Struthio camelus: one gene and its partners. The protein of the gene in region 3 purifies or fractionates together with the protein of the main gene of each other region. This does not show direct contact. Links are inferred from orthologs where the notes say so. Each region holds a gene or a part of one and is shown on either strand. Other genes may lie near its edges.

Evidence for each region.
Region 1: the proteins of LIN28A (region 3) and RRP12 purify together in Homo sapiens (affinity purification with mass spectrometry; 3 studies listed by BioGRID and IntAct, with this or other methods). This does not show direct contact. The link is inferred for Struthio camelus from reciprocal best matches to the Homo sapiens genes LIN28A and RRP12.
Region 2: the proteins of LIN28A (region 3) and DHX57 purify together in Homo sapiens (affinity purification with mass spectrometry; 3 studies listed by BioGRID and IntAct, with this or other methods). This does not show direct contact. The link is inferred for Struthio camelus from reciprocal best matches to the Homo sapiens genes LIN28A and DHX57.
Region 4: the proteins of LIN28A (region 3) and LARP4 purify together in Homo sapiens (affinity purification with mass spectrometry; 3 studies listed by BioGRID and IntAct, with this or other methods). This does not show direct contact. The link is inferred for Struthio camelus from reciprocal best matches to the Homo sapiens genes LIN28A and LARP4.

What each region holds. Positions count from the first base shown.
Region 1 is NC_090948.1:16,970,206-16,977,500, reverse strand, and holds the start of RRP12 (RRP12-like protein), read left to right. Parts: upstream 1-4,281; 5' UTR 4,282-4,328; coding exon 4,329-4,467; intron 4,468-6,391; coding exon 6,392-6,627; intron 6,628-6,736; coding exon 6,737-6,820; intron 6,821-7,091; coding exon 7,092-7,168; intron 7,169-7,295. Other genes in the region: PGAM1 (phosphoglycerate mutase 1), read right to left, coding at 324-493, 622-802, 1,482-1,756, 2,785-2,923.
Region 2 is NC_090944.1:139,719,662-139,726,518, reverse strand, and holds the start of DHX57 (putative ATP-dependent RNA helicase DHX57), read right to left. Parts: upstream 3,001-6,857; 5' UTR 2,944-3,000; intron 2,268-2,943; exon of another isoform or gene 1,831-2,267; intron 906-1,830; 5' UTR 897-905; coding exon 691-896; intron 1-690. Other genes in the region: MORN2 (MORN repeat-containing protein 2), read left to right, coding at 3,217-3,292, 3,380-3,486, 4,493-4,629. UniProt on the Homo sapiens protein: Probable ATP-binding RNA helicase.
Region 3 is NC_090964.1:7,062,443-7,070,304, forward strand, and holds the start of LIN28A (protein lin-28 homolog A), read right to left. Parts: upstream 3,009-7,862; 5' UTR 2,993-3,008; coding exon 2,956-2,992; intron 2,858-2,955; exon of another isoform or gene 2,655-2,857; coding exon of another isoform or gene 2,624-2,654; intron 1,820-2,623; coding exon 1,641-1,819; intron 1-1,640. UniProt on the Homo sapiens protein: RNA-binding protein that inhibits processing of pre-let-7 miRNAs and regulates translation of mRNAs that control developmental timing, pluripotency and metabolism.
Region 4 is NC_090969.1:1,409,064-1,416,985, reverse strand, and holds the start of LARP4 (la-related protein 4), read left to right. Parts: upstream 1-4,913; 5' UTR 4,914-5,044; coding exon 5,045-5,062; intron 5,063-5,419; exon of another isoform or gene 5,420-5,559; intron 5,560-7,922. UniProt on the Homo sapiens protein: RNA binding protein that binds to the poly-A tract of mRNA molecules. Associates with the 40S ribosomal subunit and with polysomes. Plays a role in the regulation of mRNA translation.

The DNA of each region.
Region 1 (7,295 bases), on a different chromosome or scaffold from region 3:
CAGGAGGAGGGAATGCTTGGAGCACCCCCTGCAGATAAAGGCCTGAGGGCTGAGATCTCATGATGCAGAGACGTGTGCAGTTATTGCCTGGCAGAGGTCAGGGCTCCCTTTTGCACCAGACTTCCTTGCACCAGCTCAAGACCATGGGCTCCCAGGCTCTCTGCAGAGGGGAGCCTGGTCCAGAGGGAACGGGCCTAGTCCTGGGGAGCTGCTCCCTGCTCCAGCTCTGCAGCTCCAAGTTCCTACAGCTGTGGGGTGTATGCACAAATGGGTGGGGGAGGGAGGGGGACTCATCTACTACTCGCTAGCCTGCACATCTGCCCTCACTTCTTGGCCTTGCCCTGAGCAGCGACAGCCTCCATGGCCTTGCGCACTGTCTCCTCATCCCCCAGGAACTGCATGGGCTTGATGGGTTTCAGGTTCTTGTCCAGTTCATAGACAATAGGGATCCCAGTGGGCAGGTTCAGCTCCATGATGGCCTCTTCCGACAAGCCTATGAACAGAGGCACAGTCACTCTCAGGGAACCAAGCACAGCCACAGGCCATGCAAGGGAGAGCTCCCTGCTCACACGGTCCTGGGGCAGGGCCGGAGCAGTGGGGAGCCACGCAGGGCTGACATACCTTCCAGGTGCTTGACAATCCCACGCAAGCTGTTGCCATGGGCAGCAATAAGGACTCGCTTTCCCTCTTTGATCTGTGGGACTATTTCTTCATTCCAGAAGGGCAGGGCCCGGGCAATGGTGTCCTTCAGGCTCTCACATGTTGGCAACTGGTCCTCTGTCAGGTCAGCATAGCGACGGTCCTGCCGGAAGAGCCACTGTCACACAGCAGCCCAAAATCCCTGGCCGCTGCTGTGCATCTATCAGTCAGGGGCTCAGAGGCAATACCAGCTGGCAAAGCAGCTGGAGGAAGTGATAGCAGGGCCCTTATTCACCAGCACTCTGCCCAAGGACCTATGTAAAAGCAAAGCTGGGCTTGCAGCTACACACCATCAGGGTCACCGTTGGTGTGACCAGAGAGCAAACAGGACAGGGGCACTGCAGGCTAGGAAACGTCTTTGAGGTAAACTTTGAGACTGCACTCAGCTAGGCCTAGGGAAGACAGCACTTCACACACTCTAGTCTCTATGCACAGCAAACATCCAAGCATTGGTCATGGGACTAATAATTAACACGAATCCCCTTGAATCAGTCTGTGCAACGCCCAAGGGTTCAATCTCCTCAGGGACAGCACAGGGTGAACTGAGCTCAACGCCATCCATCACCACGTTACAGTGACAGACACCACCACAGAGGTAGAGGTGCAGAGGAACAAAGGGCAGTACCAAGAATGCCCCACAAAGGAAGTCAGATCCAGCACCGGCAGCTCCCTTTCTGAGAAGAGGACCAGCCACAGGGCTCCGAGTACCCTCCAGGCTGCTTTTAGCTCAAAGGCTCCTAGGCCAAGGAAAGGAGGCAGCAGCCTGGGAAAACATGCCTTACCTTGCTGATGGTGCTGTAGAAGGGGTGATCTGGCTGCATGGGAGGTGGGGGGATGTCATATGAGCGCCTCCAGATCTTCACCTGGGCCTCTCCATGCTTAGCAGCTGTTTCAGCCTTGTTTAGGCCAGTGAGCCCTCCGTAGTGCCTCTCATTGAGGCGCCAGGTCCGGACCACAGGCAGCCACATCTGGTCAATGGCATCCAGAACGATCCAGAGGGTGCGGATCGCCCGTTTCTGCACAGAGGTGAAGCAGATGTCGAATTCATAGCCAGCATCTGAAAAAGATCAGAGCCACAGACATCAGAGCGCAGCACCACACGGCAAAGGCAGGAAAGAGCAGCATCTCTCACCCAGGCACCAGGCCAGCACTCCCACCCTTGCTGCTGTGAAAGCTGAACTGTTGTTTCAGTCATTCAGCTCACTACTCCATGCACAGCCAGTGCTCTTTGCATTCAACTGCAGTGAGCAAGCTCTGGAAAACTCCTAGCCCTTTTTCTCTGTGACCTGGAAGCATCCAAAGTCAGGAAAAAAAGCTAAAGTACATTTGATGGAAGAGCCCATGGCTCGTGCCATCAGGCCAGAAAGAGGATGTGCACCTCAAGCCAGTAAGTCTAGAGGATGAGGCTCCCCACTCGTGCCCGCCAGCGCAGCCCCGCATACCTGCGCCACGTGCACACCCCACCACACAGTCGAGCTGCGCCTGTCAGTGGCACAGCAGCAGCTTGCTGGAGTGGAAGGACATGGCGCTTACGTAACCAGAGGGCTGACGGTCCAAGCAGCCAGGGCCTTCCGCCCCAGCGCCTGGCAAACCCCAGCCTCGGCAGGGCCGAGGGTGCGCAGGGGATGCTGCAGGCACCGAGGGCGGGGGCAGGCACGGGCTAGCGCTCGCCACCTCCGCGGGGATTTACCAGCCTCCCCCGCAGCGTCAGCGCAGGAGCCGGCTCCGCCCAGCGCCGGTGTCGCCGAGCCAGGGGCCGGGGCCCGGAGCCGGCACCGAGGGCTCCCATCCTCCCGCTCCCTGCCCCCCCACCCCCAGCACCGCCCCCTCTACCGGGGCGCACCGGCCCCGCCGCAGCCCTGCCCGACCCCAGCTCTTAGGCGACCTCGCCGCTCGCACAGGCACCGACCGAGCACCAGCCCCCGGCCCGGCCGACCCCCGCCGAGTACCGGGACGAGTGGCGCGGCCTGGCGGCGGGGGCGGTGACTCATCGGTGCGCCACCCCGCCCGGCAGAGATTCACCGCACCGCGCCCCGCCGGCCGCCGCTACCGGCAGGGGCGGCTGCCGCCCCCCGGCGCCCTCACCTCGGAGGGCCTCGCCGCCGCGCTGCGCCTCTTGCTGGCCGGCGGGGCTGAGGTCGGCGTCGTACCAGCCGCTGAAGCGGTTCTCCAGGTTCCAGGCGCTCTCGCCGTGGCGGACAAGCACGAGGCGGTAGGCAGCCATGGCGGGGCAGCTAGGACCGTTAGGACCGTTGGGCTCGAGGCGCTCCGCTCACCGCACGCGCTCCTTCCGCTCCCGCCGCCGCGCGCGACTGAGGAGCCCCCGCCCCGCCGCGGCCCGCGCATGCGCGCTCGCGCGCCGCTGTGGCGGCCCCTCCCGTCGCCGGCTGAGGGCGCGCCTGCGCGCCGCGGCGGCCGCCAAAGGCGCACGTAGCGCATGGCGAGCCCGCGAAGGGCGGTGCGACCTTCGGCGGTCGTGACGTCGCCGCCGCCGCCGCCGTAATGTCGGGCACGCGGCGCACCCGGCAGCCGTAGTGCGCAGAGTAGCGGCGCCTCTACTCTGGTGCTGCCTCCCGGCCTGACTCACCCTCACGAGGTGGCTGCTCAGGGTGGCTGGAGCAGCTCTGTGCAGGCTGCTGCCCCGGGCTGCCTGCAGGTTCAGGCAGATGCTGCTGCCGGGGGGGTGGCTGGCTGCACTCCAGGCCCAGCCACAGGCTCTGCACACACGGGGCTCCGCTTGGGAGCCAGGGGCTTGCAATGTCCTTGCGGATGCTGCACTGAGACTGTCTCATCTGGTTGTACTTGTACAGCTCCTTGTGGAAAATCTCATGCTGCATGTGGTGCTTGCTCAGCTCCTGGCAGCCAGGGCAGGGATGGAGAGGGCAGGAGCAGAGCAATGGGGAGAGCAAAAAAGCAGTAAAACCCCCTTGTGGCAGGGCTCTCCTACTCTAACTCTAGGAATAGAGTAGGGTCTAATGGGTGAGAGACAGGGAGTGAAGTGGGTCTGGACTCCCGGTTCCCATCCCACATCCAGGAGGAGGCTGGAGCCCAGGGGGACAGGGACCCCAGATGACCGGGGCACTGTGCCTTTGCTGGGTGGGCAGGCAGCCATGCTGCTGGGCTGGGCAAGAACCACTGCACCAGCTGCTCCTCTGGGTGCACGTTGAGGGAGTACGGGGCCACTAGCCTTTGGGGTCCAGAAAGCCTCAGTGCCCAAAGCCAGATGAGGAGGCCTTTGTTAAAGGTGGCAGAACAAGAGGCTGTGCCCCATCCAGCTCCCCAGGACACTGATACAAGACTATCCTGTCTCCAGCCCATGCAAACCAGGCAGAGCTTGCATGCGCCACACCAGCCCCCATCCTGGTCCCAAACTGCACGGCCCGCGCTTCTCCGGAGGCTGCCGCAGCTCTGGCTCTCTTCGTCCCCTTTGGTCTCCCACCCAAGCGGTAACCGGGCGCCACCCTGCTCAGCTTGGCTTGGCAGGCGCCGCTCCCCCGCCCACCCCAAAGGCGTCGCCACAGCCCTGTGGGCACCCTGCCCTCACTTAAGATGGTGCCGGGCGCCGGAAGTGGGCGTGCGGCCGGGCCGGGCGGGAGCGGGGGGGGGGGGGCACGTGTTGCCGGGTGAGCATGGCGAGGTGCGGGCGGCTCCGTTCGGGCGCCGCCGCCAAGCTGAAGCGGTGGCGGAAGGGCCACAGCAGCGACTGCAACCCCGAGACCCGCCGGCACCGCCTGGCCGCGCGCAGCCGCTTCTGCAGCCGGCCCGCGGGTGAGGAGCTGGGGCCGGGGCTCAGCCGGGGCCTGGGCCTGGGCCTAGCGGTCGGGGGCTGGCGGGGGTCAGGGTCAGGGGCTGGCAGGGGTCGGGGGCTGGCAGGGGTCAGGGATGGGGGGCTATCGGGGGTCGGGGACTGGCGGGGGTCAGGGTCAGGGTCTGGCAGGGGTCAGAGGCAGGCAGGGGTCGGGTTGGGGGTCTGACAGGGGTCGGGGGCTGGCGGGGGTCTGGCAGGGGTCGGGGTGGGGGGCTGACAGGGGTCGGGGGCTGGCAGGGGTCAGGGGTGGGGGGCTATCGGGGGTCGGGGACTGGCGGGGGTCAGGGGCTGGCAGAGATCAGGGGCTGGCAGGGGTCGGGGTGGGGGTCTGACAGGGGTCGGGGGCTGGCAGGGGTCAGGGGTGGGGGGCTATCGGGGGTCAGGGGCTGGCAGAGGTCAGGGGCTGGCAGGGGTCGGGGTGGGGGTCTGACAGGGGTCGGGGGCTGGCAGGGGTCAGGGATGGGGGGCTATCGGGGGTCAGGGGCTGGCAGAGGTCAGGGGCTGGCAGGGGTCGGGGTGGGGGTCTGACAGGGGTCGGGGGCTGGCAGGGGTCGGGGGCTGGCAGGGGTCGGGGGCTGGCAGCAGTCAGGGTGGAGGGCTGGTGGGGGTCGGGCGCTGGCAGCAATCAGGGGCTGGGGGGGGGGTCAGGGTTTGGGGGCTGGCTGGGGTGCGGGGACGGGGCTGGACCTGTTTGCAAGCTGGGGATGGGAAGGCCGAGCATGAGGCAAGGGGTCTGTGTGGGGTGGGTGGGGGTCGGAGCCCTGCTGAGGGAGCCCGGCTCTTTGGGGTGGGCAGCTCCTTTGCTGATCTGTAGCAGCTCCTGGCATTGCCTGAGCCTTCCTGGGCTTGAGGTGATCCTCTGGCTGGAGGTGGGACTGGGCTGGCACTGGGAGGTGCAGGGGTGGGCTGGCTGCGGAGCACCCCATCTGCTTGCCTCAGCTGGTGGGTGCTGGGGCATGGTGTGAGGGGGTGAGGTCCTCAGTCTTCCTCTGCACAGCCAGAGCCTGGCTGGTGCCTTAGGATGAGACCTTGGGTCTCAGGCTTCTGAGATCCTGTGGGTTGGGGCAGGCCCTAGCGCCAGGACTGGAGAAGGAGAGCAGAGAGTTGCTCATGTGCCAAGCTCCTGCCCTGGGAGGCAAAGAGAAAGCACAGAACTAGGAGGAAAATCATCTGTACAAAAGAACAAGATTTACCCTTGTTACCTTCACCATAACACTGCATGTGCAGGCTTGGAGTGGCAACATGCATCTCGTGCTCCCTGTGTAGGCATGAGGAACATCCTACAACAATATCTGTCACCCTGCCTAGAGCCTAGTGCAAGGCCCCAGCTGGAGCCACCAGGAGCTGCTGCAAGGCAGAAGACATAGCTTCTCAGCAAAGTAACTTCGTAATGTCCCAGCAGCTTTGGGACAGAAATGATTTGGGCTTCCAAAGGCATAAGGCTGTGGCTGTAAATGCTGCGGTGACACCTGGTGCAGAGAGTGAGCGTCAGGAACAGGATACTGACTCCTGTTCTGCGAACCGCACAGCCAGGGCTCCTGGCTGAAGATGGGTGGAGCAGGGTATGAGGAACATCTTGCCATTAAAGCCTTGGCACGCTGAGATGTGTTTGTGAGAGTCTAATGCTCTCCTCTGTTAGAGGAGATGGCTGGACTGTGTTCTGATTTGTTGTCACAGCGATAGGAGCTCTCTTGAGTTACTGCTCTGTCTCCTCTTTTCAGCGTGGAAGCAGCAGTCGCGTCCCACATGCTGGAGATAGCTCCAGCAAGGTTTATCTGGCTGGGAGGGCAGAAGAGGTGGAGTACATAGAGATTTCCAGGCTGTGTGTTAGAACAAGGCTGGCACAACGTGACTTAGCTGAGCATGCCTGTTTGTCTCTGGCAGAGAAAAGCAACTTGACAGTGGATGCGGTGAAGCTGCACAATGAGCTGCAGTCAGGGTCCTTGCACGTGGAGCAGACGAGTGACAGCGCTCAGCTCCGCATGGAGGAGGAGGATGATGGAGAGGCTGCCACGGAGAAGTCCTCTGGCACCTTCCTGAGTGGACTGAGCGACTGCACCAATGTCACCTTCAGCAAGGTGCAGCGGTTCTGGGAGTCCAACTCTGCTGCTCACAAAGAGGTACTGGGAGGAGCAGGGCTGTGTGTGGGGATGGCCCACCGGACAGTCGGGCTCTACTGCAGCCCGTTAGGCCAAGAGGACTGACCTGCTCCTCTTGCTGCTCACCTAGATCTGTGCTGTGCTAGCAGCTGTGACGGAGGTGATCCGCTCACAGGGGGGCAAGGAGAGCGAGACGGAGTACTTTGCTGCCCTGGTGAGTGACTGTCATGGCAAGGCGGCATGGAGGGAGTCGCTGTGGGCAGCCCAGATGTGCATGTGGTGACCTGTGCACTTGGGAGGGTTGGTGGTGGAAGGTGCTGTGCTCATATCTGAAAGGCCCTCAGTGTCCTTCACCAGCAGAGATGCTGCTGGGCTGCTCCTGGCGCTCTGCTTGCTGGGCTTTGCTGGCTGCTGCGGTGGGGCTGGGGGGGGGCTGGCCTGGATGCGAACCCTCATGTTCTTTCTCACTCCTCCTCTGTTTCCAGATGACCACACTGGAGGCAGTGGAGTCTCCCGAGTCGCTGGCTGCTGTTGCCTACCTGCTCAACCTGGTCCTAAAGCGGTAAGTCCCCAGTAGGGGGGAAGGGAAAGATGCCCAGGCCCCTGGCCCTGTTTTGGGAAAGAGGCTGGCACGGTCTCCCCACTTCCTGTTTGGGGGAAGGACTGGACCCTGGCAGGCTGCATATGTG
Region 2 (6,857 bases), on a different chromosome or scaffold from region 3:
TAAAACAAAACAATGACTGTTATTTGCCTGGCTGAAATAACGTGGACTGAACAGATAAGCGAAGCTGAACTTTAGGACGCAGCCCTGTATTTCTAAACAAGAAAACTAAAATAAGACGCTTCTGTCATCTAAAGAGCATTTAGTTAGGTTCATCTTTACATGATCAGGGTGTCTGTGCACATGCATACACTCATTTTATCCTATGCCAAGTCCATACTGAGCTAATAAATGCTTTGCTAGATAAAGGTGAGCTCAGACTACAGTACAAGCAAGTATTTCTGGGCCTGACTGGCTACAGGACATTCAACAAATTTATTCTAAATTGTTTATTTTCCACAGTCCAACTTCACCTCTGTAACACCCCAAAATGATTATCCTGTGTTTACTAGTGTGTTCTGATCAAGGATGCTCTGAAATTACTTTTCAGGCAAGGAAGAAAATTAACAGAGAGGTTCAAATCTTAAAAACGAAAACAAAACAAAAAACAAAACCAAAAAACCATTCATAGCTACAAAATGGTTAACAACGCGAATTAGAACAGACATGTTAAAGTAGCTTTACACTGCAACAGCTTTAGCTTGAATATTTAAGCATCCCTTTGCACTTCTGCACATTCGAAAACGTCCAAAAAGCAGCTCCAAAATATCCCAAACACCTTTGCAGCAAATACCCTCAAATTAATGGAAGAACCTGGATTCCAGCCTTGGTTCCTCGAAGAGGCAAAAATCATCTCCATCGTCCCAAAGTTTTGTTGAACATTTCCTATTTCCACCAAGTTGAGACTTGTTTGAATGGCGGCTGCTGCTGCCTCCTCCTCTCCCTCCTCCTCCTCCTCTTCCTTTTCCTCTTCCTCCTCCTCTGTTGGGCTTTCCTCTCCTCTTCCCTGCTGAACTCATGTTGTCTTGCTGGAGAAGAAAATAATGCCGCTCAGTTATGAGGATGATTTAGCGTGCCACAAGGGACTTGGTACATGCTACTTCAGTTGTTTTTTCCATATGACAAGAGGGGATTCCCTCTCAAACTGCAGTTAACTACCTACCCGTTCTCATTATTTGTACACCCTTGAAGTAAAATACGTTCTTCCAGAACGTTGTTAAACAAATTCAGCTTAAAAAACAAAAGGGATCCTATTTTCCCTCACAGCTTTTCTAAGCAAGAAGCGCAGGGCCTCTGAAAAAATACTGAGCCTAGCAGCACTGCTGTCCAGCCCTGGAACTCCAGTTCTGTCTCCCTGATGGGATTTCCTTGGATACAGGTGAGCAAAGGACTAAACTTTGGGGGGACCTTCACAGAGGAGAGCACGGTGCGCCCTGCCACTTTTCCACTCCGGAGTTTGCAGGGCTGGGAGCGAAAGGTCAAGGGAAGTTGAAGTCAGAAATCCAATGTGTTTCCACATCAGCCTGCTCCTGACCCATTCCCCCTCTGCACGAGGCTGCCCAGATGGATGAATGCTCAGTGGAGCCCGGGGCAGAGGAGACGATTATGGACCTTTTCCAGAAAACAGGGACCCTCCTCTCCTTCCCACAGCGGGATCTTCAGCGGCATTGACGTAACAGGCCCCTACGTTTAAAGCCATCATTGCAAGCGACAACAGAACGGCACAACACTAACGTCTGCCCCAGCTGCATACTGACTGCACTACGCTCCTGCAAAAAGGAAGCTGTGCGGGCACAGGCGAGCAGCTCCGGGCGGTCCGGCAGGGCTTACTACCCAGATCTTTGCATTGGGGTCGCCAGAGCTAGGACAAGGACTAACGGAGCCATGAATGAGCAACAGCTCAAATGAGGGCTCCGAGAGTGGCAACAGCTCTAGACTTGGAAAGAAGCAAACCTCCTTTTTGTAGCAGCTCTCTGCGCTGGCGATCAACCAGGACTAGGCAGGATTTTAACAGAGGAGTGGACTCCACTCAGGGCCTGAACGTGCACACAGCAGCCTGGTGCAACTGAGGGGGACTGTGGGCAGCATGTCCTACTGCAGCTAGTCACAGGCACTGCAGCGGTCCCCAGGGACGCTGCCAGGTAGGGTTGGGGGTCTCCTTCCCCTCGATGCACAGCACAGAGCCCACGGCAAAGCACAGCACCACTCCCCACACCGGGGGCACCCTGTCTCGTGACCCCTCCACAGACTCCAGCGTCCCCCTGTGTTCACCAGGGACCACAGCCTCACCCACCTCCTTGGGCTGTCTGACCACCCTGTGCTGCTGAGGGCCGCCCCGGGGGCCCACCCAGCCCTGTGGCCGAATGCTGCCCTCCGTGGGCCCAGGAGCCTCCTTCCTCCTCCCACCCATACCCCACAGGGGCCGCCACGCTTGTCCCCCCAACCGCCTTCCTAGCCCCTGACACCCTGGGGATCCCCAACACCTCCCCCCCCAACAGTGCCGGCCCTCCTTCCTGCCCCAGACCCACTGGGGACCCCCAACGCCTCCCTCCACCCCCCAGGGACCCTGCTGCACACCCCCTCAATCCCGGCCCTCCTTCCTCCCCCAGACCCACTGGGGACCCCCAACACCTCCCTCCACCCCCCAGGGACCCTGCTGCACACCCCCCCCCATCCCGGCCCTCCTTCCTCCCCCAGACCCACTGGGGACCCCCAACACCTCCCTCCACCCCCCAGGGACCCTGCTGCACACCCCCTCAATCCCGGCCCTCCTTCCTCCCCCAGACCCACTGGGGATCCCCAACACCTCCCTCCACCCCCCAGGGACCCTGCTGCACACCCCCCACTCTTAACCTCCCCCCCCTTCCTGCCCCCTGGGGATCCCCAACACCTCCCTCCACCCCCCCCACTCCCCACCCCCCTTCCTGCCCCAGACCCCTCTGGGGACCCCCAACGCCTCCCTCCATTCCCCCCCCCCCGAGACCCCGCTGCAGCCCCCTCCCCACTCCTGGCGGGGCCCACAAACGCTCCCGGGGGCCGATGGTTGCCTCCGCCCTCCCTCCCTACCTCTCGGGCCGGCTCGGCCCCGGCCGGCTGACCCGGAAGCGCCCGCGCTGCCCTTCCGGGTCGCCGAGCTCCCTAGCAACCGCCCACACTTCCGCCTAGCAACCATGGCCGGTAACAACCCCCCCCCCCCCAAAAAAAAAACAAAAAAAACCAAAAAACCACCCTATTAGTTAAACAAGGAAAAATCAGCAGTTGGGACAGAGCTTGGTCTGCTTTGCCTTTGTGCCTGTCCGGTCCTCCCGCCGAGGGGAGGGCGGGAGGGTCACCGCAGTGATGGCCGCCTTCCCTTCGCCGGCAGGCGCGGCGCTTTTCAAGGTGTCCTTCGTCTTCCCCAACAAGGACACGTACGGTAAGGGCTCCGGCGGGGCGGCGGCGGCGGCGGCGCTCACGGCCTCGGCCGTCCGCCCGCTCCCTCCTTCGCACCTCGTGTCCGCAGAGGGCGAGTGCGCGAGGACGGGCGAGGGCGCGCTGCGCAGGAGCGGCCACGGCGTGCACACCAGCCCCGGCGGCCTCACCTACGTGGGCCGCTGGCAGAACGACAAGGTGGGTCCCGAAGGGTCCTCGCGGCGGACGCGTTCCCCCCGGGCGCGTGGCGAAGCGGGAGGCAGCCGGCGCCCCCGAGGAGAGGAGCGACGCCTCAGCTCCGCCGCCCGGAAAGGGAAGCCCGCGGGCGTCCGGCGGCTTGCGACATCCCGCCGCCTCCGGAGCTGAAGGCCGCCGGCGGCGTCGAGCCGGAGCCGGAGCCCGCCGGGCGGCCTCCCACGGCGCGGCTCACCCGCTGCGAAAGCGCCGCTCGGGTGGGCCGCCGCGGGTTAGGCAGGGCCTCGCCGCCTCGGCGCGGGCGCACCTCCCGGAACGAAACAGGGGAGCGCTGGTCTGGAGGAGACACGCCGTCGCTGGGTTCGCCAGGAATTAATCAGCAAGGACTGGAAACTCGTTGGGTTTTGCTGGTGTCGGAGAGGAGACAGCCCTGGAACGAGACAAACAAGGGTTTGAAATTAGGAAACGGTGTCCTGCGGCTGTTTTAGATCCAGTCTGCCCTTTTCTTCAGTCTCTTACAAAAACGTTTGCGCAGCAGTAAGAGTTAAGATTATGGTACAAATGAGCTGTAAAGGATTTAAATCCCAAGGGATGGCTTCGTGGCCTAGGGTGAACAAGCGAAAGGCTCACTCTGCCTTGATCCACCGAAAGAAATGCTGGAAAACTTAATGAGCCCCTCAGGCTGTCAGGGTAGGTGAGTTATTTGTAGGGCTGGAGACAGCAGTTCCCTGGCTGCGTAAATTCTGAAGATCCTGTGACATTGCCATCAGAGGAAGGGTTTACTGGGCACTGGGGTTGGCCAAAAACTTCTAAGCTGTATCTGAAGTCCCTGTAGAAGCAGGAACTGACTAAGTTTGAAAGAACAGTCACTGTCCTCTCCGTTTATCTGAGTATGATAGCAGACTCAGGTTTCAGTTATCTGGAAGAATACTGTAGTGAAAGGAAATAATACTGTAAACATAAACATTAACCCTCCTTTTCTTTATCCTCCAACTCTCATTAAACGCAGATGAATGGCACAGGAAGGCTGGAACATCCTTCGGGGGCAGTTTATGAAGGCGAGTTCAAAGACAACATGTTTCATGGAGTAGGAACCTACACATTTCCAAATGGAGCAAAGTACATTGGACCGTTCAATGAAAACAAGTAGGTTTAAAGTTGAAAAGAGTCACACAGTCTCTTCCGTTAGTTTCAAATTGTAAGGTTTAAAGGCCAACTAACATTGATCCAGCACAGGAGTCGATTTTTTTTTTTTTTTTTTTTTTGGTACCAGGAAATTTGCACCGGTCTCTGAGTGCAATGATCTCAGTTGTATGCTTTTCGTCAGATCAGTCAAAAATCCATGATGCTCTCCCAGTCAGAAGTTTTCAAGACAGTTATCCCATCCACCCACCTTTTATTTTGTTACCAAGTCTTTGGGCTTGCACGCAGTTCAGAGGAACAGAACAGTTCAGATCCATTTCAGAGTTAGTGTTTCAAGCTGTCTGCCTGCAGACTCATAAAGAAATATAGTGTTGATTTGTGCTGACAGTTGCTTGTGAAGTTTTTTGTTTACTTACTTTTGAGATAAAGTAAAAATCCCATAGAGATGGGAAAATTTGGAGGCTTATTTTTATCACTCGGAAGCAAAAGTTTTAAGGACTCTCATATAAAGCAGCAGCTGAGTTCATTTCTGTTGAGTAAGCGTGTGTGTGTGTATGTTTTGAAGTGCTAAGATACCATCTTCTCCTAAAACAAAAAGCTGATACCCACTTTATAATCCACAAGACAGATCTAATGAGAAAGCTAACTGTAAAAAATGACATCAGGGTGTTCATGTTTATTCTCATCAAATGACTTCTCTGTCAAATTTGCTAGGTTCAATTTAGGTTTAAGTCCCTCCCTAGTCCCACATGTGAAATCAATCTAAAATGTGTATGTGTTGGCAATAGCTAGTCTTTCACCAGAAAACAGCCCGATCTTGCCCTGCTGAATAGCCCACAGCAGTACTAGAAGCATGACCAATTCTGCTTTTAAATGACCAGACACCAAATTCAATACATGTTAGCAGAACGTAGTTGGATACAAAATGGAAACCTGTATAATCTCAAACTGTTGTTTGAGGAAAAAGACATTTACTTCAATGCTTCAGAACACATCTAGTTCAATTAAATAATGCCACTATTACAGTGGCATGTTAACATCTGCTAAAGACCTTCTGTCTTTGCTGTCACATTAAATGCCATCTGACCTCTGCATGAGTACTAGAATCGTAAATAACCATCACTTTGAGCATATTCATCAAGAGATCACATACGTAGCTTTACAGGCATTTTCTCTCAAGAAAATTAGGGTGACGCCCCTGTTCTCGTGGGAAAAATACAGCCCAGCACAGAAGGGCCAGCACAGTACTTGTCACTAGTAGCTGACCTGCAGAGCAAAACAGCGGGTGCTGATTCAAACTTGTGATCTAAATTAAAATGCGGATGCAGACATACCCTGCTTTGCAGCAGAGACCCCATCTTTACCTGCACTGCCATTTTCCTCAGGGAATCAAAATTTTTTCTTTGTTGACATTGATTTGTGATCGTTAATACGCGCTGCATCCCGACAGCCTAATGTTGGCTGTTCAGCCAAGTTTCAGGTCTGCTAGTTTCCACCTACTCGCACAAGATAGGTGTCAGTTCACCAGATCACTGCAGTTTTTATGGGAGAACGATATAGGCAGCACCATAGCAACGAGCTCTGACTGCTAGGTGGATTTATTTTTTAAGGGAAACAAATCTCCAATAATTGGTTTTAAAAGTTATTTTTTCCTCATTTGCAAGGGATATTGCTGCATAGACATTTCTTCTTTGTAGCGGTTTTCAGGTATTATTATGAGTTTGATCACAGCTTTCAAAGATCAGCAGAAATACATGCCTTTTAAGAAGTGAAATCACATGGCAGTTACATTTTTTTCCCCACAGGAGGCTGTAAATCCCTGCACTTTGTCATAATGCCACTTAGAGAGTGCTGGAGAAAGAGTAAGAGTAGATGATTTTTACAGCAATAATATCACACAGTAAATGGCTGCATACAGGTATACACTTTTAGGATGCCCCTAATGAAAGTCAGGATAAACTTCACAAGACTTGAGCCTCAGTGACCTCAAATCATGACCAGGACTATGACACTATTCCTGTACAGGCTACATGCTGGGAAGATGCTGGTGTAAATACACTTCTGCAAAGCAAAGGAAGGAATATATAGCTTGGCTGTCTAACCTGTGTGCTTCATAAGTCTTCCTAGTTTGTAAGTCAAAACTTTTACGGGCTACCATGTAGGAAGAAAGTTAAGGCAGGTACTTTAGTCTAGACTGGGAAGTTTCTGCTTCCTGGTAATTCGTTTATCCA
Region 3 (7,862 bases):
CAGAGGCAGCCCGGCTTGTTCCCTTTTCCTGCAGAAACGCGAGTAAGAGCAATCGGAAACCTCGACTCTCTGGGGGCAACAGACCCAGGGGAGACTCCTCCGGTTGGCGCTGGGTCACGCCAAATTGCACTGACATGCAAAGCCCCATTTGCTCCCTGCAGGGAGGACCCGATGCTGCGGCGACTGCCTGCAGGGACAGCGGGGCTGTGTGCGCTCCCTCGGCCGATTTGGGGCCCTTGCTCACAACTGGAGCCACGTTTAGGGTCCGGGATAGTAGCTGCTACAAAAGGTGTTTTCTTGCCACGGCTCACCATGCTGCAAATGAAGGAAAAGGGATGCAGCTCTCCCACGTTTGTTCACTTGCTAAATTAGTCCAGGCGGGACAAATCCCATGTGGCTGCCCCCAACCGCACCAAGGAAAACACCTGTGTTTGCTCTGGAGACACCCGTGCCCCTTGGCCAGCGCTCGCCGTGCTGCCCAGCCCCGACGGCCGCCGCTTTCCCACGGGGCTCGCGCAGACCCGGGGCTCTCGGAGAAGGGAGCCAGCGCGTTCGGCGCAGCCACGTTTCCAAGCAAGCCCGACGTCTCCCTCCCGCGCTGCCCAGTGCTTGCCCGATGGCCCCGATTTGGGCACCGTCTTCCAGCCCGTTTCCCCAGCTCCCCCCGACTCGGGTCTCAGCTGCTGCAGGCAGCACCTTCACCCCCGAAGCGGCAATTCCCCTTAGCGCAGGGGCAGGATCACAGAGCAGATGCGCGCGGGGCTTCTCTGCTCAGAAAGGTGCTTGCAGCTCAACCCCGACACAAGACCGTCACTACTATATGCTACTATATGTTATATGCATTAGATAGAAACTATAGGGGCACGTGTGCGACCCCACGTGCCTTTGTGCCAGCCGCAGCTGGGGCGACCACAGCTAGGAAGTGCCCCTCCATCCCCATACAGGGGAGCAGGGCAAGTTTCCAGCAGGACTTTTGTCCCCCAAGAGCGCAGCACGGGGACCGAGCACACGTCACCGCGTTAAAGACCATTTTGTTCCTCTAATTCCCAGGGCCAGCGTCCCAGGGCCCCGAGCAGAGTCAAATCCCCCCTCGAGGATGAGCCACCAGCTGGGGAAAGTCCCATCTCTCCTGCCTGCCCGGCTCAGGGCTCCCAGGATCTCGCACCCAATGCTGGGGGGGGGGGGGGGGGAGAACAGACAGCTCTTTCCCCTTGCCAGCATCCCCCCTCCAGCATGTGCCGCTCACCCTCTTCTCAAGCCGCTGGGCACCTGCTCCCCCCGGATCAGGGCCCCTCGCCCCGCTCTAAAGGGCTCCCCAGGGAACCATGATGAGAAAATGAAATCGCTCCGGGATCAGTTTACAGGGCCGGTCCCTGGAGATGAGACCCGGGCTGCGGAGGGGCGACCGCTGTCCCTGCCCTCCCTCTCTCATCAGGCTGAGAGAGAGGCAGGGGCTGGGGGGGGGAAGCCCCAAGCCTGAGGGGTCCCCAGCTCCCCCGGGGGATGCTGGCATGGGGGGGGCAGTTGCCTCCTACGGAGGCAGCATAGGGGTCCCCATCCTGACCGGCATCCCCTGGGGGTGCCAGGGGCTGCACCCCCTTTCCTCCCCCCGGGCAGGAGCCGTCCCCGCTGCCGCGTACCTGGTGCACGAAGACATCGACAGGGGAGTCCAGCGTCGCGCCGCCCTTGGCGGTCATGGAGAGGAACCCGAAGCCCATGCGGACGTTGAACCACTTACAGATGCCGGAGCCGTGCAGCAGCTGGGGCTCGTTCTCAGCCTTGGGCGAGTCTCCCGCCGGCTCCTCGCCCGTCTTCGCACCTGGGGACAGACCCATGAACCGGCTGAGCTGAGGGGCCGGGGGAGCTGAGGGTCCCCGCCAGCTGCCCCATCCAGGCCCCGGGACCCCCGAGCCTCCCCTCGCAGCACGGCTGCTGCCTGCCTGCCCCGGAGCCCCAGGGAGCCGGCAGCGGGGGGAGCGAGCACCCCTGGAGGGGCCAAATCCTGCTCGGGTCCTGCAGGCTGGCATGCAGGGAAAAGGCACCCCGCCCCATCCCCAAAACAGAGAGATCAGCTCTGCCTCCGTGTGCGCGCAGGGATCGCTCCAGGAGCCCGAGGAGAGGAGAGCAGCTCCTTTCGGCACGACCCGGGCAGTGCCGGGCTGGCAGCCCCTAAGTCCATCCCTCCCTCCCCAAAAAACCCCCACAAACAAACAAACAAAGCACAAAAAAGGAAAATCTCCCCCAAAATACCAACCCGAAATCACCCCGTCCCCAGCAGACCACGCTGGAGAAAGTAGCTCTATTCCCCCCTCCCAAATCAGCAGCCATCCGGGCACAGCAGGAGCCCCCGGTTCAAAACCGACCCCGGCATCCAGGGTCAGCCCCAAACTTCTGGGCTCATCCTGGGACGGGGAGGGGGGGGAAGGAAAAAACAAAACAAAACCCCCAAAAGCCCAAAGCGCAGCCCTAGAGCTGAGGCAGCAGGGCGCAGGGCGCCGGCCTCGCTGGCAGGGCGCAGCGGGCCCAAGCGGGCCGGGCTGCGCGGGGGCCCTGCGGCCGGGCCGCGATGGGGTTATTAATAATCGCGGAGCCGAGGCGGGCTGCGACAATAATATAACTTAACCTGCAAACTGCTGGTTGGAAACAGACCCCATCCCGACACTCGCTTGCAAATTCCGAGCTGTGGCTGTTACCGCCTCCTCCCTCCTCCTCCTCGGCCAGCTTTGAGGGTATCAGCCCAGCCAAAAAAAAAAAAAAAAAAAAAAAAAGAAACCAACAAAAAAAAAACCACAGCTTAGACCCCGACAGGAGGGAGCCGGGAGAGGTTTGACTCCATCTTCACTCCAACAATAGGGGTGGGAGGGAGCGGGAGGGTTTTTTCAAAGGCTCCCAAATTCTCGGAGACAATAGCGGCCCCCGCCGCCCCCGCCCGCCTCGCAACACCCCGGCACCCACCCGCGGGGCCGGGGGGCGCGGGGCCCCCCTCCGCCATCCCGCCGCGCCGGCCCTGCGCCGCCCGCCCCGCCGCTCCGCGGGTTCGAGCCCGCCCGGGGGGCGCCCGCCCTCCCCCCCCACGTGACCCTAATTAACCCCCCCCCCCTCCGCGTTAATAGCGATACATTCCGGGAGGGATTTGGGGAGGGGGAGGTTCTCCCCCCCCCCCCGCTGCTCCAATCAGGGCGAGGCCACCTGTCAAGCCGAAGAAATGACCCCCCCCCCCCGATGCGCTAAGGCCGTGGGACCCCCCGGGGGGGGGGGGGGACGGAGTTTCCCCCTCATTTCTCCACGCTTCCCCCCACCCCCGCGCAAGCGAAGCCACCTGCGACCCGGGGGTCCCCGGGGACACCCGCCGGGGTTGGCCCGGGACAACCGGGCCGATCCTGCCCTGGCAGCCGGGCACCCGCGGGCCCTTCGCCCCCGGGGGGGAGAGGGAAAAAAAAAAAAAACCCAAACGGGTGGGAAAAACTCGCAGGTCCGCGGGGGGCTGCGGCCGCTTGCCGGCGGCGGGGCCGTGCGCTCCGTCGGGCCGGGCCCCCCGCGGACCTGAGCTCACCCCGGTGCTGCGCCCCCAGCCCTCCTCGGGCCGGGCAGCCCTCGGGGCCCGCGACTGCGGCCGGGGGTGGCGGGGCCCCCGCGGGGCCGCGGGCCGCTGCCCCCCCGCGCCGGGCGGGGACAAAGGGCGAGTGACCAGCGCCTCCATTTCCGGTGGCCAGTGCGGAGCGGACAATGCCCCGCTCGCCATCCGGCCGGGCCCGGCGGCGGAGGGACAGCGCCGCCCGCCGCCGCCGCCCCGGCCCGGCCCGGCCCGCAGCGCGCTGCGCCCACGCCGCCGGGCGGGTGGTGGCGACGCGTGGGCTGCCCCCACGGCGACACCACCCAGCACCGCCCCTCCAAGCCAAGCAGGGGCAAACGGGGAGAGTCCCCTCCACCCCCGCAAACGCCCCGTGGGGAGCCGTATCTGCGCTGCCCCGGCGTTGCCCCACGCGGGACTCCCAGCCGCGTGGGCCCCGTTTCTCCGGCGAGCAGCGGGGCACACCCTGCTTGCTAGGTTGGGCACTCTAGGGGGGCGGCGGGACCACCCTGCCCACCCCCTCCTCCGGGCCCCCGATCCCGCGTGGGGACCCCCGCGCGGCGTGGGGGCGCCGCCCGCCCCGGCGTCCGCGCCGCCGGCCCTGGCCATGGTGCTGAAGCGCCGCCGCTCCCTGTCCAGGGTTCTGGGGGCTCCCGCCCTTCCTCCTCCTCCTCCTCCTCCTCCTCCTCCTGGCCCGCACAGCCATCGGGGGCAGGACGGACCCGCCGAGCCCCCCCGCGGCTCGGCCTCCCCCCTTCCCTTCCCGGCAGAGCTGAGAGGCTTCGCCGCGCTCCGACAAGTGAGGTTTGGGGCCAAAAAGGAGCAGCCGGATTTTTATTTTTGTTTTTCATTTTTTCTTTCCCTGTGTCTGCAGCCCTGGGAAAAAAACGGGGGGGGGGGGGGGGGGGCTGCGACCTGCCACAGCGGAGATGAACCAGAGAGAGATACTTGTGGAGACAGGAATTGCCTGTTATCAGCACTCAGCAGGGCTAATAATGGTTCAGGGAAGTTCTCGGGTTGTCCCTGCGCTTTGGGCCGATGCCACGGGGACGGGCGGGGCAGCGGGAGCTGCCAAACCTCCCGATTCAGCACACCAGCCGCAAGGCAACCCCCCCACGAGGGTTCGCGGGGGCGACGAGGACGCGTCCGTCGGGCGCGCCAACGAGCCCCCCCGCCCCCCCATTCTCATTCTGCGCGGTCCGGACACTAATGACTTCTGGTTATTACCGAGCAGTGACGCGGGCCGAGGCTCCCGGTGGCACCGGCCCCTGCGGCGCCGCCTCGGCCCGAGCGGAGCCCGCTGCGCCCCCGGGCTCCCCCCGGCCCCGGCTGGAGGCTCCCGCCGGCCCGGCCCGGCCCGGGGAGCGGCGGGCGCCGCGCTGCCTCTGGCACCCTCTCCCGGCCACGCAGCGGCAGGCCAGCCTCGGGTTCGTCCTCCTTTTGCTGGCTTGCTTGGGATAATTTGGAGGAAAGAAGAAAGAAAGAGAGGAGAGGAGAAAAAAAAAAAATTGAGGGAGACGCTTCTGTGTCTTTTCCTCCCATCTCTCCTTTCCTGTTTCCTCCTCTTCGCTCTTTCCTGCCGGGCAATTTCAGTTGTGCCACACACACCGTCTGCACAATTTGCTCCTGCGCTTTGCTCCTGTTTCACCCCTGGAAGCAGTAAAGCGAAAAAGCCCGCAAGCAAGCCCAGACCCCAGGGGGGGATAACAGGCAACTCCCCCCCCCCACCGTGTTTGTGGGGCTGGGATCAAGGTTTTCCGAGCAGCCCTGAGAAGCATCCCCCACAGCTCTGCACCTTCTGCCACCAGTGGAGGTGACACCGAAACGCCAGCGGCTGCAGGAAGCCCGCCTGGGGACGGACCCCGCCGTGGACGGAGGGCATCCTGGGGCAGGCAGGACATCCTGTAACGCAGAGGGCAGACGGAGGTGGGCAGAGCTGCAGAGCAGCCGGGCGGCTCGCTTGGGAAGGATGTGGCAAGGAATCAGTCCTCGCTTTCTGTGAAACTAATCCTTTGGAAAATAATCCAGCATTGTGCATCGACTTCCTCCCTCCAGCCACTTCCCGTCTTCTCGCAGCTGATCAGGCGCAGGGCCCGGCAGCCCCAGATGCCTCTTTCCTGCAATTCTGTTCAAACTTGGCGGCAAGTTTCTCAACGGCCGCCGATTTGTGCCCGGTCGCCGTGACCGGCTCTTTCTATAACAGCGCCGCAGCCCTGAGCACGGCAGCTTCCCCGTTACAATAAAACCTGGCACTGCCGAGCCCCTGCGACACAGCCCGCAGCAGAGCCAGCCCAGCCCCGCGTAATATTTGTGTGTGTGGCGTATTTGTTTTCGGGGCCTGTTGAATGGCGAACGTGAAAGGGAAGGGGAGTCCTTCCTGTTCTTTCAGAGCCCGTCGCTGCGCTCTGCTCTGCTTCAAGGGAACAGCCAGCAAAGCGGCCGCTTTCACAAATAATGGCTTCATTAGATTGAAAGAAGTGGACAGTGACCTCTCCGAAATGGACTTTCTGACCCCTGCTGACCTTTCGCCCTCGCTCTGACAGCCTGTAAATCTTCCCCCTCGCGGCAAGGCCGGGGCGAGCAAAGCGAGCGCCCCGCCGGAGCGCGGTGCGCCCGTCCCGCTCCCTGCCCGCGCCGGCGCGAGCCCAGCTGCCCGGCGGGGCGGGTGCCCGACGCGCTGCTGCCCGGGGGTCCCGGCCCGCTCTGCCCGGCTGCGGGCAGGGGTCTCCCCGCTCCCAGCGGGATCAGGGCCTGGCAGCGCGTACAACCCGGGTGCACGGCTGGGCGAGCCACAGCTTTGGCCAAAACGGGGACTGGTGTCCTCTTTTCCCCCGCAAGCCAGAGCTGGGACGGGCTCAGGGGAGCAGGAGGGACCTGGGCACTGGGGAACGGGGTTATCAGCGCGCCACGGGCCCAGGAGCCCCTTGGTGGGGGTCTCGCCCTGGCGATCACCGGCTCCGCGCACCGGGAAGGTGCAGCACAGCTCACCGCGCGCGCTGCCCGCCCGCCCGCAGGCTCGCGTGGGGCACGTCAGCCCCTGGGGCTCCTGCAGCTCCTGTCACAGGGCAGACGTGGCCTGATCTGCAGATGGGGAAACTGAGGCATGCTGGGGCTGCACGCTGGGAGCCCCGAGCGTAAGGCAAACCGGTCGACGCGCGGGGCTGGGAGAGGGGGAAGACGGGCCGATGCCTGTGCTGGGCTCCCTGCTCTGGCTCAGCTCTCCGGGCTCCCCCATCTCCCAGCCTGGCACCCATCCCCTGGGCTCTGGTCCCCGGCCGCCAGCCCCGCGCTCCCCAGCGCCTCCCTCCTCCCCAGCCCGTGCAGGGACGCCGCTGACCTTTGGCTACGGAGCAATCAATAACGGAGGCCGCGGAGCCGCTCCTCCCCCCTGCCCTTCCCCCTGCTCCCCCAGTGCCCGCTGCACCGCTCAGCGCCTCTAATGAGCCCCGGCCGTGATTGAGGAACTGTCAGGTACCCCCGGCCGCGGGGTAAACGGGGCCGGGGGCTGCATCGACCCGCCGGAGACACAGGTGTGTTCCCGGGACCGCCGCCACCACCGGGAACCCCCTTCCCCACGCCGCCCTGCACACGCTCCCCGGCACCCGCCGGCGGCTCGGTCCCCCCGGCCCCCGCGTTCGGGGACACGCAGCTCGTCCCCGCCGCGGGCACCGGAGCGCGTCCCCTCCTGCCGCGATCGGGAGCGACGCTCCCCGGGGGCATCGGCTCTTTGTGAGCGAAAGTCGAGGAGGGCGAGGAGCAGGGATTACCGCTGCTGTCTGCCTTCCAACGTGCTTCGCTGCTTTTCTGCGATTTCACTGCATTTTTTTGGACAAGCTGGGAAGATGAGAAATGCGGCGAGGGAGATGATCGCAGCCGGGAAGGATGGGTCGTGCCCAAACTCAGCCTCTCCCCTTTGCATTCCCAGCTCCCTCCGATGACAGCCCTCGGCCAGCAGCGGCTGATTGATTGGCTGGAGAGCGGGGATTGATCAGGATTTCGGCCCCATGCATATTCCTGCTATCTGATAAAGGGAAATCGATAGCTGAAAGAGATATTCCTCGGAGGCCGGCCTCTCCGGAGGCAGCAACCTCGAGCAGATCAAGGCTTGCAAGCCTTTCCTCGCCCCCTAGATCCCCCCAGCCCGGTTCAAGCCCTGCTCCCCCCAATGACAAACCCATGCAGCAGGGCAGGAAAGAGCCGAGGGGCAGGAGAGGGGGCCGGGCTGGCACCGGGGGGACGCAGAGGGGCCGGGGAGAGGGGACAAAGCCTCTGCTCCTGGGTCTCACCTCCC
Region 4 (7,922 bases), on a different chromosome or scaffold from region 3:
CGCTGTGTTCTTGCCTTGGGCCTCTTCTACTGTATAATAGCACATTTTAGAGTTCAAAACATAGTCTCCTTGCTAGGCTTGGTATTTATTGATATCAGAATTGTCATTCAAGGGTTGCTGATGAAACTTTTTACTCCTCTGCCTCTACTTCTATTCCTGATTCCCCCAGCCTCCTTCCTACCATGCCAGCCCATACAAAAGGCTTCAGCCTCCTCAGCTAAGGGGTTTCTAAACAGACATAGCTTCTCCCTTCAGCATAGAGGCACTCTCCTGTCTTCTTAGGACAGTGTCACCTATATCTAGTCCTCAAATGCTGTTAGTTGCCAGAGTCGAGTGAATTAATAAGGAACACAGCTCTAAGCTGGACTCTGAGCCCCTTTGAGACGTGCTGACAGAGGAATATATTATGCCTTGAAATGACTTGAAAAAAATGAACTCTAGAGAGGGAGAAGAGCAGGAAAAAGCGTCAGTTGTGAGCTGCCGCCCTCTCCTGAGATCTCTCCTCCTGCAATGAGGGCAGCCCTGGCTCTCCCATGACCTCTTTCTTCCTGCAGGATAATGAAAGTCAGCACCCTGTAAAGGCAGTCAGAAAGTCAGCTGCTCTGCCACAGGGTTAGTCCTCCAGATAGATGAAAGGAAAGTGGTTTAGTGTCCAAATGAATGTCATGGCTTTAAAGAAGAATTAAAGCCAGATGTTTCCAACAGGCCTGTTGAGGCCAGCCTTTTCTGGCATATTTACCAAGCCACCAAGGAGACCCAGCTAGTGTCTGCAGCCCTCCATTTTGGGAACACTCTGTAATCCCAGCGGCTCCTCTGCGATTGCTGGAGGCACGCTGGCTGTCCAGAAGGACTGCACACACGGAGCTGGGGCAGAGATAATGCTGCCAGCTCAATATTTATTCAGTGTTTGTCAATATTTATTCCTCACCGATAATGGTGATGACAGCAGGGGTGTAATAACCAGACAAAATTTAGCACCTTCTGCCTTTGAACAAAACACTGGGGCCAAAAGGTGGCTTAGCTGTGCTGGCATCAGCTCTAATTTCACTCAGAGGCTTGCAGGCACAAGGCAGCACACTATGGTTCAGGGAATCCAGAACATAGTCCCTGTCCCAAGGTCTAACTTCATACTCCTCAGATAGGCCTGGTGTTTATTTTAACAGGCGGGTAAAGCTTTTGCGGTGCAGGGACTTCATCAGAGCCAGGGAGAGCGCGTTATATTCTTGTCTTGCACAGGGCTTGATGTTTGTACTCAGCTACCTGGTTGAAGCTAAGGACCATTCAGGTGCAGGTAGAACAGATGTAAAATATTAGGAAAAAGGAAACTGAATCCTTGCCTTAGCGCAAGTCTGGGAAAGATCAACATTTCCTACTTTGCTAGGGAGTAACCTAAACCTCAGGACTACTGGGTGTGTGGTTCCAGCTCACACCCAGCAGTAATTAATCTTGTTGCCAGTGTAGCTGCTCCAGGCCCTCAGACTACAATAGCTAGTCAGAATAGGTTTTGTATTTTTGGGTCTGCCTGGTGGTTATAGCATTCAACTTTTGGCCTCTGAAGGACAAATTCCTGATGCTGTGCCCTCAGCATTGCTTTGAGGTGGAGTTTCCTCTTGCGAAATCAGCCGGTGCTGAAAATGTCCTGTTGGCTTTGAAGACGGGGAAAGGCTTTGCTTAGCGTTGCAGACATATGTGTCACACTCCTCATCTTCCTCCTGCCCCGTCCTGACCACTGGGATGTTCCTGCTCTAGAGTAGCAGACAGGATATGCTTGAGATCCAGGGTGCTGTTGGATCGCCGTCTTCTACTGGGGAATAAATGGCAAATTCAAAAGGCGCACCCTAAAGCAAGCGAAAGTAAATATAGCAGAATAAAGTTAGGGGGCAGGAAATCTAAATTTCAACTTTTTTTTTTCTGTTGGTGCCCACTCTAATAATCAGATACTTTGACATATAATAAAACTCTATAGCCTGACTCCACAAAGCTGAGCAAACGATTGCTGTAAAAAAGGAGCTTTGTACCATGCCATTTGTTCTCACAACGCTGCTTCATATTTCAGTATATACATCACGTTCATTCTGCTCTGGGACATTATGGACAGAAGTTGCAATTGTTTCTGCTGCAGTTCCAAAAGCAACTGTCAAGAGAAGGCCTTTGGGAGAAGAAAGGTGAGCCAGACAGCAGACTCCATGACAGTGCTGGATGGACTTCAAGAAAAACTTTGCCTCACCACCCTCCTGTAAGGGAACAGTAGATGGTGACTAACAGGAAAGAAACTTGACCATGGTGTTAGCACAAAACTGTTTGTATTTGCCTTCTAGATATGTATAGAACCTTATCTGATCATAGCATGTACTATACCCTGAATTGTATTGCTTCTGCACCCTTAGAAGACAGACAAAATTATTGTTATAAAAAATGAATTATTTAGTAGCTGTACAGATTGGCTGTTTTTCCACCCCATCTGCACTTTAAAGCCAGTGTGGTTACAGTCTGTAAGAACTCTGCCAAAATTGGAAATATCCTGACTGATGTCCACAGCACACCGACCACTTTATTGGCCAGGCATTTCAACTAAATGAGGTGATCTCGCAGGAGCAGCGCAGCACCAGCTTCAGGAAAATGATCTAATCTGAGCATTAACAATGATTTGCATCACATCAGGGCCCGATTTCAAAGGTCCTGAGCTCCTGTAGGATATCCAGGTATTCAGCATGTCTGAAAATAAGGCTCATAACTGCTTTGTGCGACAATTTCTCCATTGGTTTGATATCTCAGTATAAGGCAATGGGTGCACTAAAAATTAATGAGCAGATTCTGGAGGTAAAGAGCTCTGTAAAACAGGATAATACTTAACTGCTTCACAGGGGGCATAAGGATTAATGAGTTAATGTTTGCAAAGTGCTTTGAAGATGAAAAGTGCTAAGTCTTATTACATCTGGTGGATGAAGTAAATGAGCATGAGGAACAGGTTCCCAATTCCATCCTGTAACTACCAGAAACAAGGTCTCTCTCTAAATGTCATAATAAATAAGGCTCTGAAGGTGGTTTGCTCTCATACTGTCCCTCGCAGTTTATATTCAGAGCGCCCCTGGCATCGACAGGACAGAAAGAAGGGTTTCACGCTGATCCCACAGACTGCAATGGGTCACTTCCCGTTTACTTTGCTCCAAGTTATTTATTCTTTTACTCTAACTTGCTTTCTTTCATTCTTATGTGTATGTCTTGGAGATGCTGTTCAGGGAAACTCCTGCAGAATCTGCCAGCTGGACCATCAATTTATAGTACAGCTTGTGCTACAGTTTCTAATCTCTTTGATGGACCTTGATTACTTCACTGGCTGTAACTTAAACACTGCCATTGGCTAGACCATAATTGCAGGTAATACTGTTAAGCAGGGTCTGGGTTCCCTTGCTGGGCAAGTGGCAGTGTAGGAGCATTGTCTGTGAAGGCTCCAAAACGGTATCCTTCACCCGAACATCCATTACAAAATGTATTACTTCCTTAACAGAGTATTTCTTGATCATCTAAAATCCCCAGACAACCCAAAACCTCTTAAATTTGCTGTATAATTTCCGTGGAATCTTTCCATGTCCTTTCTCTGTTGTGCTAAAGCAAAATGGTTTCAAGGTGTTTTTTCCCCTGCGGAAATCCCCTTCACGGCACCATTCTCCAATGCAACCCCACGTGGCCCTGCGTAACGCCACGTGTGAGCTGTCTGCGATTCCCAGTGTGTTTGATGCTTTCAGTAGGTGAGATCTGGTCCTTTGTCTCTCAGTCCGATGCTTTAATTTGATGGCTCTGCAACGTTAATATTAAACGTGCAATGCCTAGCATTGGAGGTTCAAGTTCCAGTGGGCTCTACTGAGTCCCTCCTGTGTAGATGAACTGATTTTACGCTCTTTGGCCTAGATTTACAAAGCTACTGAAAGACATCAGTGGATTTATGCCCTTTCTATATTGGAACTGTCTGGAGGAAATCCTGTGTCCTGTGACATGTCTGGCTGGAGCCGAGGTTTCCCTCCTGTCCCCAGTGTTCCCCCACCCCGTCCCTGGTGGTGGGAGCCCTGGCAGCTGTCGCAGACCCTTCCCCGTCCGTGGGGGTCTGGTACACATGGTCTCTGCACTTGGCAAGGAAAGGCATGCCGCAAATGCGGGGCGCAGCCCATCCCATCCCGAACGTGCTTGCGCGGGTCTTCTCCTCAGATAACGTCTGTATCCTGGAATCACCCCATCGGTTTAACCACGCAAATGCCGCAGAGGGTGCCTGCGTGCGGCGCGGAAAGGGGGGTGGGAGGGGCAGGACGGGTGCAGGTCCCGTTATATTGTATTTCAGGGAACAGCCACTTCACCTTTGCGCTATTCAACAATGACACCTAGAGGCCGCGGAGGGACAGAAGCCAACAGAGATCGGCGAAAAGAGGCGGCCGGCGCGGTGGGCGCGAAGCCAAGGCTGCACCTCCGGCTTCTGCGAGAAATCCGGGGACTCCTCCCTCGCCTTAGGCTGGTGCCTTCAACGGGCAGTAGAGTGTTGGGGAAAAAAAAAAAACCCAGAAATATATCTTAATCTTGCCCGCTTCGCTGACACTCGCGTCCCCGCTGCGGGGCCGCCCGCAGCCGTTAACGGCCGCCCGCAGCCGTTAACGGCCGTTCCTGTCAGAGCGGCCGCGGGCGCGCGGCGGCCGGCGCAGCCCATTCCGAGCCGCGGGGGTGGGGGGCGGCTCCTCCCCCTCCTCTCTCTGGCGATGGTTCGCTCGCCCCCTCCCCCCCGGGCCGGCCTCCCGCCCCGCCCCCGCCGGAAGCGGCCGGCCGGCGCGGCCCCGGAAGCGCTCGGCGTGCCCCGGAAGAGGCGGCGGCGGCGGCGGCGGCGGCGGCGGCGGGCGGGGGGCCGGGCCCTGGCGGCACAGCCGGAGGCGGAGCCCGAGCGTCCTTATCACTGCTGGCGCTGGCGCGGCCGCCGCCGCCGGGCAGCAGCAGCAGCAGCAGCAGCGGCGGCGGGGAGCGCGGCGCGGGTCCCGGGCCCGCCGGCCTCGGCGCGGGCGGCGGGATGTTGCTGTTCGTGGAGGTGAGGGCGCGGCGGGGCCGGGCCCGGCGGGGCCATGTGGTGACAGGCCGCGCACGCCGCGCGGGCGGGCGGGCGGGAGGGGACGGGCTGACACAGCAAATCCGGGGGCGGCGGGGGGGGGCTCGGCGCTCTGGAAGGTTCCGCCGGCGGCGGCGGGTGAAAGGCACCGCCGTGACCTTCCGGGGGAGCCGCCGCGCCGCGGCCTGGCCTGAAGGTTACGGCGGCGCGGCCCGAGGGCGGCGCCGGGCGGCCTTCCCCCTCCCCCCGGTGCTGGCCCCGGTGCTGCCGGCGGGCTGAGCCTGTCCGCGGCCTCGGCGGCGATGATTTAGCGGCGGGAGGCGGGCGGCCCCGCGGGGCGGCGGCGGGGAGCCTCGGCTCGGCCTCGCCGCCGCCGCCGCTCCCCGGCCGGGCCGGCGCCTCGCGGGTTTTTTCTGCGCGATCCGGTGAAAGGCAGTTTCGGTATTCGCTGGGTAAACGCGGCGCCTTGAAACTTCGCAGTAAGTTTGGCCCGGAAAGCGCGCAAGGGCGGACTGCCCCGCTCTTAATTGTGATTAGGAAATTACCGATGAGAGTTAAATCGGCTTCCACTGCAGCGTTTAGCTGAGGCGCCGTTCACGAATACCAAAACATATAGCGCCGTTAAGAACTTGTAAATGAAACAGGTTGAGAAACACCTTTGCTTTTTTTGAGCTGATCACCTTAGTTTTGAAATATACATTATTTGACTCACGTGGAGAGGAGGGGAAAAAAAAGAAAAACCACGTTGTGACCCCAGCGTGGCAAGTCTGAAGGTTTTGGTTTCACAGTATTTAGCTGCAATAGTTCCTCTTCAAAGTTAATCAGAGCTGCTGCGGCCTCCCTCGCCTGAGCCCCGGCGAGGAGCCCGGCCTGCGAGACGCGTGCCCTGGCGCAAGGGGTGCGCGAGCGGCTCCCGGGATTTGCACGGCTGAACCCCAGCAGTTGGTTGGCGAATAGGGCTCCAGCCGCTCGCAGGAGGTTGCGGCGAACCGGGAGCGCGTGAAGCCAGGCAGCGCACATCTGAATATTTAGCAAATCCTTTTAAAGCCCCGACTTGATTTATTTTAGTTGCTTTGTTTGATCGCCTTCCTTCTCTTCTGCGGATAGTGTTATAAGTTAGTTTTTGTGATCTTCCTTCAGGAAGCGTTGGTGTTTAATTTTGAGGGCGATCCTGACTTGCTTTTTCAAGGTGCCTTTTCGCTGCCAGGACAAGGAACGCAAGCTCTTAACTAGGTGTTCTGAAATGCTGTAGTCAGACGCTGTAAAGTAATGGTGCCTTTTATCCTAGGATCTTTGGGGTCGTCTGAAAAATACGGTACAGAACAGGATTTTATTTGAAGCCCTGAAATGCTTTTGGATTAGCTGAGTTATTTTATCTGTCAGTGATGTATTTTATGTTCAACTGACATAAGCATGTGCTAATTGTGAATAGATTCCTTCATAGCATGCACAGTGGAATTCTGTTTTCCTTAAATATTTTTTTTAGCTAAAATATTCAGTATAGTGAGGGATTTGTGTAAGAGTCAGGTTATTTTTCATTCCTTAATCTTTAGTGTAGATCTTATCTTTTGCTTTCAGCCAGGGCCAGCATATTGTTAGCATTTAATGATAATTAAGGTGCATTGGAAGTATTATTAAATGTGTTCTGAGAAGTGTAATTGCTAATGGCTTACTATGCCTGCTCTGAGGTTTGGTTAGCTGAATGTGGGTTTCTGAATCAGAAATGTAATTATATTAGTGCCTTACAGGGACAGTTGAAATCCATGCATTTCAGATGGATGAGATTCTGCGCTAATTGTTGTCAGTGGTGTTTCCCAGTGAGAAAAGCAGGACTGTATGAAGCACTAGATGTTGCTGGCCCCTTTTCAGCATGTGAAGCTTCCTGTTTCACTCTTGGTGGCAAAAAAAACCCCAAGTACACAGTTTGTATGGGACTGTGGCATTGAACACTTAAAGCCAGACAAGTCCTGGTGGACCATTTTCTGCTTTTGTTGCTTCAGATGTGTTCTCTCTCATCAATCTCTTCCAGGAAATCCTGGGATAGCAAAGAGGAATTCATAAAACTTCAGTGCAGCGCAGTTGTGTGAAGTCTTTCAGCTCCTACAGTGGTGTCTCCTTCCACTGCAGCAGTGTGGGGGCAGAGCTGCCGGCTACCCGTGGGTCCTGGCCTTTGCAGACCCTCCGGGGGAGGGGAGGAAGCAGCCTTAGCAGAGGGGAATTTTAGGGAGAGCTCCTCTGACCCCTCCTGCATCCAGGAGCTGCAAATAGCAAGCAATGTGGGGCAGTGACACAGTTGAGGGTGGTGCCATCTTCATCTGGCACAACTCGCACAAATGAGCATGCGCTTTACCTAGCGATAAAGGAGCCGCATTCTAGTTCTGGGGTGCTCGTGTTGGCTAATGAAAAAGCATTCTGTATTCGATTAAAGTAGTTCTCTTGTAACCATTAATGTTCATGCACGTTTTGAGAATTACCTGGGATGCTCAGAGTACTGAATAGTTTTTACATGATGTGCTGCAGTCAGGTCAAAAGGAGGTCCGATTGCTGCATTTGGTTTGAAACCAGAATACCTTAAAACAAACTCAGAATGTTTTCATTTTTGTTGGCTTAATTGGTTCTGTTAAATGTAATTTAGGCTTTTAGGAAAAATGTTTCTTTGCTGTCCTTTCAAGATGAGACTGATGCTTCAATAGTCGGTCTGGAGGAATTTTTGGAGGAGCAGCTTTGATGCACGTTTGTCGAAAGTAATGTAATCTAAACGGAAGCCCTGCTGAAGAGGACAGCTTTGTCAGCGCATGGATACCCATGAGTGTTCCTAACCTTTGTATCTCTGTAAAGCTTT